3 linked regions of the Mus musculus genome follow. The protein of the gene in region 1 interacts with the protein of each later gene in a pairwise test. Links are inferred from orthologs where the notes say so. Each region holds a gene or a part of one and is shown on either strand. Other genes may lie near its edges.

Region 1 (2,984 bases):
TTCCTTATCCCAAAGGCCAGACACCCAGGCTGGGATGGGGATCATCACAACAGCTGCAGAGGTCACAGACAGGAACTTAAACCCTGTCCTCCCACCCAGGCCAGGGACAGTGGGACACCTGATGCCAGCCAAGGATTGATTCTGTCTGGATCTACAACTGACAGGCCTTAGGGTCACTGACCCCATCCACACCCCAAGGCACAGCCAAGGACGGCCCTGGTGCCAGCCCCTTCCATAACCTCCTCCACAGATATCATTTAAACAAACCTTGAAGCCAGCTGGCCTGCTAGACACGCTCCAGTGCCAGGAACTGGACATGAAGCCAGGGCTGGGCAGTGGCACAGGAAGGGGGACCAGACATTCCCCCTGTTTACAGCTCTGCCCCTGTACCCCACCCCTAAGCATGGAGTGTACCCTCTGGTTATGCCAGATTTAGCTCCAATGCTTGGCTGTTCCCAGAAGTGCACGGTGGACATTCATGCCCACCCCAACCACAAAGAAAGAGAGAAGCGTGGAACATGGCTGAGCATTTATTGCAGTGCTACCAGAGGGTGCTGGGGGCCTGCCCACTTCCACCCTCTTCACATCCCCCTCCTTTCCAGAGCGTTGCACATCCTTCTCCTAGTCCATCTGTTCCCGAGCAGGCCATTCCCAGGGGCCTCTCCTCTCACCAGGATCTCTTGTCTCTTCTTCTGGGGCTGAGGGTGCTCAGCTCTCCACTCCTAGTGCCCGCCATCCTCGCTCCCTTCCCTGTGGGGACTCAGGACACCTAGGCATCCTGGCCTCGGGCTCCCTCCTCCCATAGCTCCCACCTCTGGGCAAACTACAAAGCAGCCACTGCCAGCAGCTCTCCTCCATTGTCCTAGCCAGGAAGTGCCTAGCCTGAGACAGACACAGTGGAGTCTGAGTCACACAGTCCATCTCAGCCTCTCTGAGCTTCCTGAGACATGGATCGAGACAGGGTACGGCGCAGGGGCCCGGGTTTGCTGACTGGCACCACAGGGGGAAGCTGCTTTGTGATCTCAGCCACGTCCTGGCGCTCCACGCACTGGCCGCCCAGGGCCGTCTCCAGGGCCAGCAGCTCCCGAAGCTGGATGGGGGTCTCCTCGCGCTCCTCCTTGGAGGCCCCCACCTTGGTGGGCGTGAAGATGGGTAGGGGCAGCACCCGCTGGTACGGCAGCTGGTATTCCTGTAGCCCACGGCCGAGGATACCCAGGCGCATCACCAGCCATGGTGAGCGCTGTACCACCGCCTGACACTGTCCCTGCCGGTGGTAGGTCTCATGCCTCTGTGTATCCTCCTCGTGCAAGGAGCATCTGAAAGTGGAAAGGAGACAAAGGTGGTGAACTGAGGGCAGCTCTTCTCTGGTCTTGGGCTAAGTGGGGTCTCCCTGGCATAGCTAGTTCCCTGGAGCAGGGGAGGGGCCCCAGAAACTTCAGGGGCTTGTACTCTGATATGTAGCAGGTGCTTTGGGGGAGCAGAGGCAGAGCCTCCCAATGATTCACACTCACCCCTCTTCCGGCCGGGTAGACAGAGTCAGGTCTTTCCACTCAGCCCAGAAGGCTTCCCTGCGTTCCTGGTTCTCCTCAGACACTTGGCAGCTCAGCTCTGAAGTGGCCATGATTTCTGATTGCTCCCTCTGCTATGTCCTGCTCCTCCAGAGCCCTTTAAATAGCCCCTTCTTCCCCCTCTCCCCCTTCTCCAGGGGCTATTTTCAGCCCCTCTGGCGTCAGATGCTATAAGCAGAGCCAAGACTCACTGGTGGTGATGGGGCTCTGAGTCCGGGGCGGGGGTTGGGGTACCCAGATTCTGGTTGCTCCCAGGTCAGAGGTCAGCTTTCAAAGCCTGCAAGATGCTCTGTTGGGGACCTGGGTTCTCAGAGTAGCACCTCTGGGTGTCTGGCATGCTGCAAACACCACCTCGGACCAGGCACATGGGCAGCCTCGTGCCACCTTGGCACTGTCTTCCTCTGCTCCCCCCTTGCTCAGGGAGGACAGCAGCTTGTCTGTAAACAGAACAGGAGAAGCAGGAACTGATGCCCTCCTCGATCTGCCCCATGCTACCCGGATCGTCTCTCCTTCCTGAGCTCAAGGGCACATACCATAGTGAGGTCCCTTGACCAGAAGGATCACATAACCGAGTCTTCGGGTTGCCTGTACAGAAAGCAACACACCAGCAGGGGAGAGGACACTTCTGCCACACCCGACCTCTGGGTATGAGTCTGTGAGCTTTCATTCCTCAGGGCCAATCATTAGAGAAGTGTTCTCCTAAATCCCACCAGTCGGGGTGAAGGAGGTAAGAGTGGGGGAGGTGGCCCCTTCTCCTCTGCCTGCATGGAGAGAAACACTGTGAGACAGAAACAGAGAAAGCCCATTGAACAGGGTTAGGAGATCCAGACCAGCCTCAAGCTGGCTCTATTTTATATAATCATGGAGCAGTCTCTACCCCTTTCCAAGTCTCCCTTTATCTGCTTTTCTTTCTCTTTCTTCCTTCCTTCCTTCCTTCCTTCCTTCCTTTCTTTCTTTCTTTCTTTTTTTCCTTCTTTCTTTCTTTCTTTCTTTCTTTCCTTTCTCTTCCTTCCTTCCTTCCTTTTTTCTTTTTCTTCCTTCCTTTCTTCCTTCCTTTCTTTTTTTCCTTCCTTCCTTTTCTCTCTCTCTCTCTTTCTTTCCTTCCTTCCTTCCTCCCTTCCTTCCTTCCTTCCTTTCTTTTCTTTCTTTTTAAAAAGATTTTATTTAATTAAAGTATATGAGTACACTGTCATGTCTCAGACACACCAGAAGAGGGCATCAGATCCCATTACAGGTGGTTGTGAGCCACCATGTGGTTGCTGGGAATTGAACTCAGTGCACTTAACTGCTGAGCCATCTCTCCAGTCCCTTATCTACTTTTCTAGCCACGGTGGAATGAACTCTGGGACTGGGCAGTTCCACTGCTTCACCTGGGAGGGGACTAGCTCGCTCAGGCTCTCTCTCTCTCTCTCCCTC
Region 2 (2,745 bases), on another chromosome or scaffold:
ATTCCTAGCACTTGGGAGGCAGAGATAGGCAGATCTCTGAGTTTGAGGCTAACGTGGTCTACCAAATTCCAGGACAGCCAGGGCTACACAGAGAAACCCTGTCTCAGAAAAATCAACCAACCAACCAAACAAAGCAAAGCACACACGCCTTCTGTCAGTTAAGTTCTTAAGTTCTGATGGTGACCATGCTAGCCCCTAGGCTTTGGTTACACACAACAACCAGGAGTACCTATCCTATTTTATAATGAGAAATAAGTTTCTGGTCTTACTAAGGACTCAATGATATGTCCTTTGTCACTTAGGTTGAGGGAAATATTTGATCCATCTTCCCTTGCATAAGAACACAGACATTTTAAGACACCGAAAGAGAAACAAGTAGTTTGGGATAGAGATCTTTTAGAGAAAAAAAAAAAAAAAAAAAAACCAAAAAACCCACAATTTGATAACTGAAAAAAGAAAAGTGAGCATTAAGTAGGAATTTTAAAAGACCAGAAATGAACCAAACTTTCCTCAGAACAGGTTTATTGGCCATAATGAAGTTCTATATACAAAGTGACCTAAACCTTAGTGACAAATGCTTTAATTCCAGGATGTATGTGTTTAAAGCAGGAAGACCATACATTTGAAGTCAGCCTGGGCTACATAGTTCTAGGCCATGATGGGCTGTGATCCTGGACTACAGTGACTGTCACCAAAGAGCAGAGTGACAAAAGCCCAAACAATTGCTCCTCTCTAACTGATGTCTTGGTAACTGGCTGTCATATAAATAAGGGAGTCCACATTGGACATTAACTGAATGGCCTATTTCTGGAACTTTAATAGTTTTACAAATGAGCTGAGACAGGCATGACTGAATCCCGGTGAGAGGCCACTGGAGAGCTGACATCAGATGTCAAGAGGCCATTTTGTGCACAGCCACTGTGATGCCATCGTGTTTCTGGATCATAATGTTCCTGAAAAGCCAAAAAGAAAATATTCAGCAAACTCTTAATGCATGTGTCTCAGTGTAAGATTAAATTTATTTAGTTTAAATATATTTATGTTTAGATGACAGCATATTTATCTATATTCTCATACAAAACCAAATATGAACAGTCCCTGTTGACAGGTGTCCGTCACCAACCCCTAGTGCCATAGCCTCTCCATACTTCCCACCCAGAAAGGGGACTACATTCTCAAACCAAGAGCCAAGTCTTCCGCTAAGAAACATGAATAAATAAATAGCACAGATGGGCATGAACAGTTGAGGATTGTGGGCAAATCTAATTATAACATAAAGAAATTAATCCTTTTAATTAAAAAAAATTTTTAAAAAGTAATCCTTAACCCTACTACTCAACATGATTCTGATTTTTATTTTTTCCTGGAGGTTTTGGTGGTATTGTTGGAGTTAGAATCTAGAGCCTTGCACATGCTATCACTAGCCTAGCCTCCTTCCTGGTCCTAATTTTTAGATTAGATTTTTAAAAAATATATGTATGTGTCTGTCCGTGTGTGTCATTATACACACTGGTGCCTGAGAAGGCCAGCGAGTGGTGTTGGTTCCTCTGGAGTTGGAGTTATAAGTGGTTGTGAACTTCCAAATGTGGGTGCTGGGAACTGACACAGGTCCTCTGGGAGAGTGCCATGTGCTTTCAACCACTGAGCCGCCTCCCCAGCTCTTAATTCTTATTTATGTTACTTATTTTGGGGGTCTGTATGTGTGCCACTGCTTGCATGACAACGTCAGGGTGTTTGTCTCCTCAGTCATGTGGGTTCCAGGTATGGAGTTCCAGTCATCAGACTTGGCAGCAAGCACGTCTATTTGCTTAGCCATCTTGCTGGCTCCTGGTTCTAATTTTAATTTGTATATATTTATACATATATCGATATTAATATCTTCTTTTTCCCTTGCCCCAAACTGACCAAAGTATGCATTTTTAAAGGTTCACATACTCTATCTCTGTGCAGGTGTGCACATACAGGTGTGTGCATGTACACACACCTATGTATAGGCACGGAGGTCAGAAGAAGGTGCTGGGTGTCCTCTATTACTGTGCAACTATCCTTTGATGTGTGGTCTTATCCCTGAGCCTGAGCCTCATTTTCTCTGCTACACTGGAGGACAGCCAGCTCCAACAATCCTCCCATCTCTGCCCACCCCCTCGCCCCTGACTGAGGGCTGAGGTTGCAGGTGTTTGTTGTGTGGGTGCTGGGGTACTAGTATATAAGCTCTCATCCTCGGGACTGTGGCTCTTAAGCACTGGCATTTCTCCAGCCCCACAGTTTTGTTTTCTTCCTTTTATCACTTAGCATCTGAATAAAGATCTTTATCTAGGAATATCTTTAAGACCTTACTTTAGGGAATTCTATGCAGCTAATCATTTTTTGTGTTTTTACTGTTTTTCCTTTATTGGAGTGGCAAACTGATAGTTCTTATTTTAATGAAGTTCTGTTCTCATGAGGCCTGGATGTCCAATGGCTCTGTGGTGCATTGACTAATGAACTACCACTGAATGCAGGGGAAAGCCCAATCAAGTTTTTCAGAACAAAAAGAAAGGGGTGTGCTGGTATGTACTCACCCATTATCTGATTCTAAACATACCACAGGGATGTCGGTGGGGTCAGAGGTTAGCCTAGCTGCCTGCTGGGCTAGAACAGATATGACTCCAGCGTGCTCATCCGACAGGGTACCACGGCCTAGAGAATAGTGAGAAGTGTCTAAAAATTAATATAAACCTATAGTTTAGTATCTCCTCCAGAATT
Region 3 (3,520 bases), on another chromosome or scaffold:
AAGAGGTATGTGTGGGATATTACTCTTTATCCAAAACCCAGAAAATATAATTAATCCCATCTAAGGACTGAGGCTGGAGCCAGTCATGAGAAATCTGTGAGCTTCTTGATATTGCAAGAAAACTTTGATATATGCTTGGATTTGTGTTGGATGAGGCTCCATAATTTTAACATTATTGATGGAGAACTAGATTCTGTTAAAAACACAAAGAAAACCTAATTATAAGCTATCTATAATAGTATATTGAAGTTGGAGGCTTCTAAACATTGCGTAAGTGGAACAATGAGATAGACACAAATATGTGACATTTGGAACTCAAAATGAATTGTTTGTCTAGTGCAGTTCAGTACTAGTTTTACTTGAGCAATAAATGCAGTAAGTATTCACCTATCCGGTGTATGTATATTTCAATCCTACTATGCTAATGCAGTGTAGATACATGCAAATGCTCACTAGACTGTCGCACAAACTTAAAACTGTAACATATGGCTGGCTTTAGCAGAGACAATGCAACTCTAAAATCCCTGTGTTCTTTTGACCCCAAAAGTATTTTTCTGTTCCTATTTACCATCCTCCTAAACAGGACTTGGAGCCACAAGAAGTGCAGAATGGGGACTAGGGAAATCTGGCTCTCCTCTCCCTTTGACCTAAACTTCTCCAGATTTTTGAGAAAGACATACCAATATAAACCTGAATTTTCCCACATTTGAAAGGAGATGTTTAATAAATCTGGGTGTAAGGCATTTGAAACCTACAGTCTTCTCTACATGTAGAAGGTAGCTTGGAAGCCTATTATTAAACAAGAAGCTACTCTGACCACAGAAGAAAAGGCTGGAAGTCCAACTTCCTGCCCCTCTGCCAATCCCATGGATTTCCAGACCTGTGATGACTGTAGTCAAAAGCAGATACCATACAATTCTACCATGCTGGGCCTTGGGGCTAAGGGGTCAGGGTAAAGAAAATAAAAAGTAAGTTGAAAATAAATAACACCAACGAATACAAATCATGGTTACTGGTTCTAACAGGTGTCACAGAGTTTGACTTCCAAAATGATATCAACTCTGGTCTCTCATATAAAATTGAAATCAATGATTCTAAGTGGAAGAAACTGAGGCATGATGGGCCTACTGACACATGCACACCTTAACCTGCATAGAAGCATAAATTTTAGGCAGCTGCTACATGGTGCAGAGCTGATGAGATACTATAAAGACTGTATTGAGTTAGAGTGAGGAGACCCAGATCTAGTTCCAGGGGTGAAGGACATGTACTACATTCAAAGAATGCTTTGAAGGCCAGCAAGAGGCACAGATTTAAAGTTGTTTTGTAGATGTGTGTCATGATTATGAGTCTCATAGGCAAGAAATTGTTGAGAAAAGGCTTTGAAGAAGGCAAGAGAACATTTATTGATAAACAATAAAAAGGGAGAGTGAAGAGCATCTCACTCTTATCTGCAGTTTGAACTCTGAGTCATCTTTATCAGCTGGCATTTGATCAGCCCCCTAACACTACATATCTTTAGCCACCTCCAAATGTCACAGAGAGTGACCCAGCCCTTCTGCTCTTTTCTCTCATTTTTCTCTGCACACCTCTCTGGGCAACTCCATAACCTTGAAGAGTATGGAATTTGAGACAAACTATGAGACTACTTCCTGTGAGGCCTTCCACTTTCTGTGGGGCCTTCCATTTCCTGTGAGGCCTTCCATTTCTTGTGGGGCCTTCCCCTTCCCGTGAGGCCTTCCACTTCTTGTGGGGCCTTCCATGAGGCCTTCCATTTCCTGGGGGACTTCCACTTCCTGTGGGGCCTTCCCCTTTCTGTGGGGCCTTCCACTTCCTGTGAGACCTTCCCCTTCCTGTGAGGCCTTCCACTTTCTGTGGGGTCTTCCATCTCCTGTGAGGCCTTCCACTTCCTGTGAGGCATTCCACTTCCTGTGGGGCCTTCCATGAGGCCTTCCATTTCCTGTGGGGATTTCCACTTCCTGTGGGGCCTTCCCCTTCCTGTGGGGCCTTCCCCTTCCTGTGAGACCATCCCCTTCCTCTGAGGCCTTCCCCTTCCTGTGAGGCCTTCCACTTCCTGTGGGGCCTTCCATGAGGCTGCTCCCCTCTTTGGTCACATGGAGCTAACTCACTAGTGCTTAAAGTGGGCTGAAGAAAGGAATTGAACTCCCTACCTTCTGCCTCTGGAACACATGAGTCAGGGGAGCCACCTGGCAGTCCTTATGGGCGCCAAAAACCTTGCACAAGGAACAGGTGGGCACTTCACAGTTCAGACAATAGATGTTGATGCGTTCCTCTTCATGCTCTTCACACATGGGCTGGTCCAATTTTTTTTCTGGCCTGGGAGGAGATAAGACGATAAATAGCTATCAACCTCCACCAGGGCAAAGCAGAGGGGTGACAAACTTTGTAAACCCTATTGGTCCCTAACCTCCCAACCGTATCCTGAAGACTCCCAGAGCCCTTCTATTTGTCCGGTGAGAAGTGCTGACAAATCTCCATCTGCTTGAGCACTTGGGAACAAAGACACTGATGTATGACATTCTTCAATTAGCATTTATCTAATTTGATAGTGTGTTCGCATCAGTTCAAAATTATAAAACTGCCCTGTGGAATTCCTAAAAGTTCAACACTAGTCTCTGGCCAGCCATTTGGAACTCACTCCAGCTCTGTGCCCACAGATGAGCTTACAGGTTCCTCACGCGATCTTCCTATGGGTGAAGAAGAGGAAACCACTGATAAAATGCATCTCCATTTTATGTTAGTGGAATCGCTTGGTGCTGCTCCTCCAGCCTATAGCCCCGGAAACCTTTCCGACCTACAAGTCTGAGAATTGAGGGGCCAAGAAGAAACAAAACTAGATAGGTGTGGGTGCAGCCTCCTTACATAAAACCCAGAATATCTGATGGATCCCATATAAAGACAGCCAGGCCAGAGGGCTTTAATGGGTAAGGAGGACACTTGCTACCAAGCCTGATGGTCTGAGTTCACTCCCAGGACCTACATGGTAGAAGGAGAGAACTGAGTGCTGTAAGTTGTCCTCTATGAATAACTATTACACACACAAACACACACACACACACACACACACACACACACACACACACTACAAATGAGTACATGTAAACATTTTAAAGTTACGGCTCAGATTGTTAGAAATTGAAAATAAACCCAAATTCAAACGTTTCCTCATATTCCCAAATATAGCTATTTTGAAGCATCTCACTACAACCACTACATTTTCCCCATTGCCATTGAACTACGTTTCTTAAAAAGCACAGGATTATATGGATAGGAAATCAATTTATCAATTAATGGACAGGATTGCTAAAATCTGGAATAGAACACCGAACTGAGAGTTACTTGTAGGGAGAATTCAAAGTATTAACACATGAAGGTTTTGTTTCAAGTATGTGTGTGGATTGTACATGTACACTGTATAATGTAAATGTATCTATGTGAAACCAATATATATATATATCATTCAGATGTGTAAAGATAGATTGTGAGTCTGCGCAGGTCA

Evidence for each region. The genes of interacting proteins can lie anywhere in the genome.
Region 2: the proteins of Tcap (region 1) and Lamtor5 interact in binary tests that used the Homo sapiens proteins (3 or more experiments, as listed by UniProt). The link is inferred for Mus musculus from reciprocal best matches to the Homo sapiens genes TCAP and LAMTOR5.
Region 3: the proteins of Tcap (region 1) and Trim55 interact in a two-hybrid assay, tested with the Homo sapiens proteins (2 studies listed by BioGRID and IntAct). The link is inferred for Mus musculus from reciprocal best matches to the Homo sapiens genes TCAP and TRIM55.

The regions. Positions count from the first base shown.
Region 1 is NC_000077.6:98,382,484-98,385,467, reverse strand, and holds Tcap (telethonin), read right to left. Parts: upstream 1,658-2,984; 5' UTR 1,622-1,657; coding exon 1,512-1,621; intron 1,317-1,511; coding exon 923-1,316; 3' UTR 515-922; downstream 1-514. UniProt on the Homo sapiens protein: Muscle assembly regulating factor. Mediates the antiparallel assembly of titin (TTN) molecules at the sarcomeric Z-disk.
Region 2 is NC_000069.6:107,281,843-107,284,587, reverse strand, and holds the end of Lamtor5 (ragulator complex protein LAMTOR5), read right to left. Parts: intron 2,680-2,745; coding exon 2,562-2,679; intron 954-2,561; coding exon 893-953; 3' UTR 506-892; downstream 1-505. UniProt on the Homo sapiens protein: As part of the Ragulator complex it is involved in amino acid sensing and activation of mTORC1, a signaling complex promoting cell growth in response to growth factors, energy levels, and amino acids.
Region 3 is NC_000069.6:19,657,945-19,661,464, reverse strand, and holds part of Trim55 (tripartite motif-containing protein 55), read right to left. Parts: intron 2,338-3,520; coding exon 2,172-2,337; intron 1-2,171. UniProt on the Homo sapiens protein: E3 ubiquitin ligase that plays an important role in regulating cardiac development and contractility, muscle growth, metabolism, and fiber-type differentiation.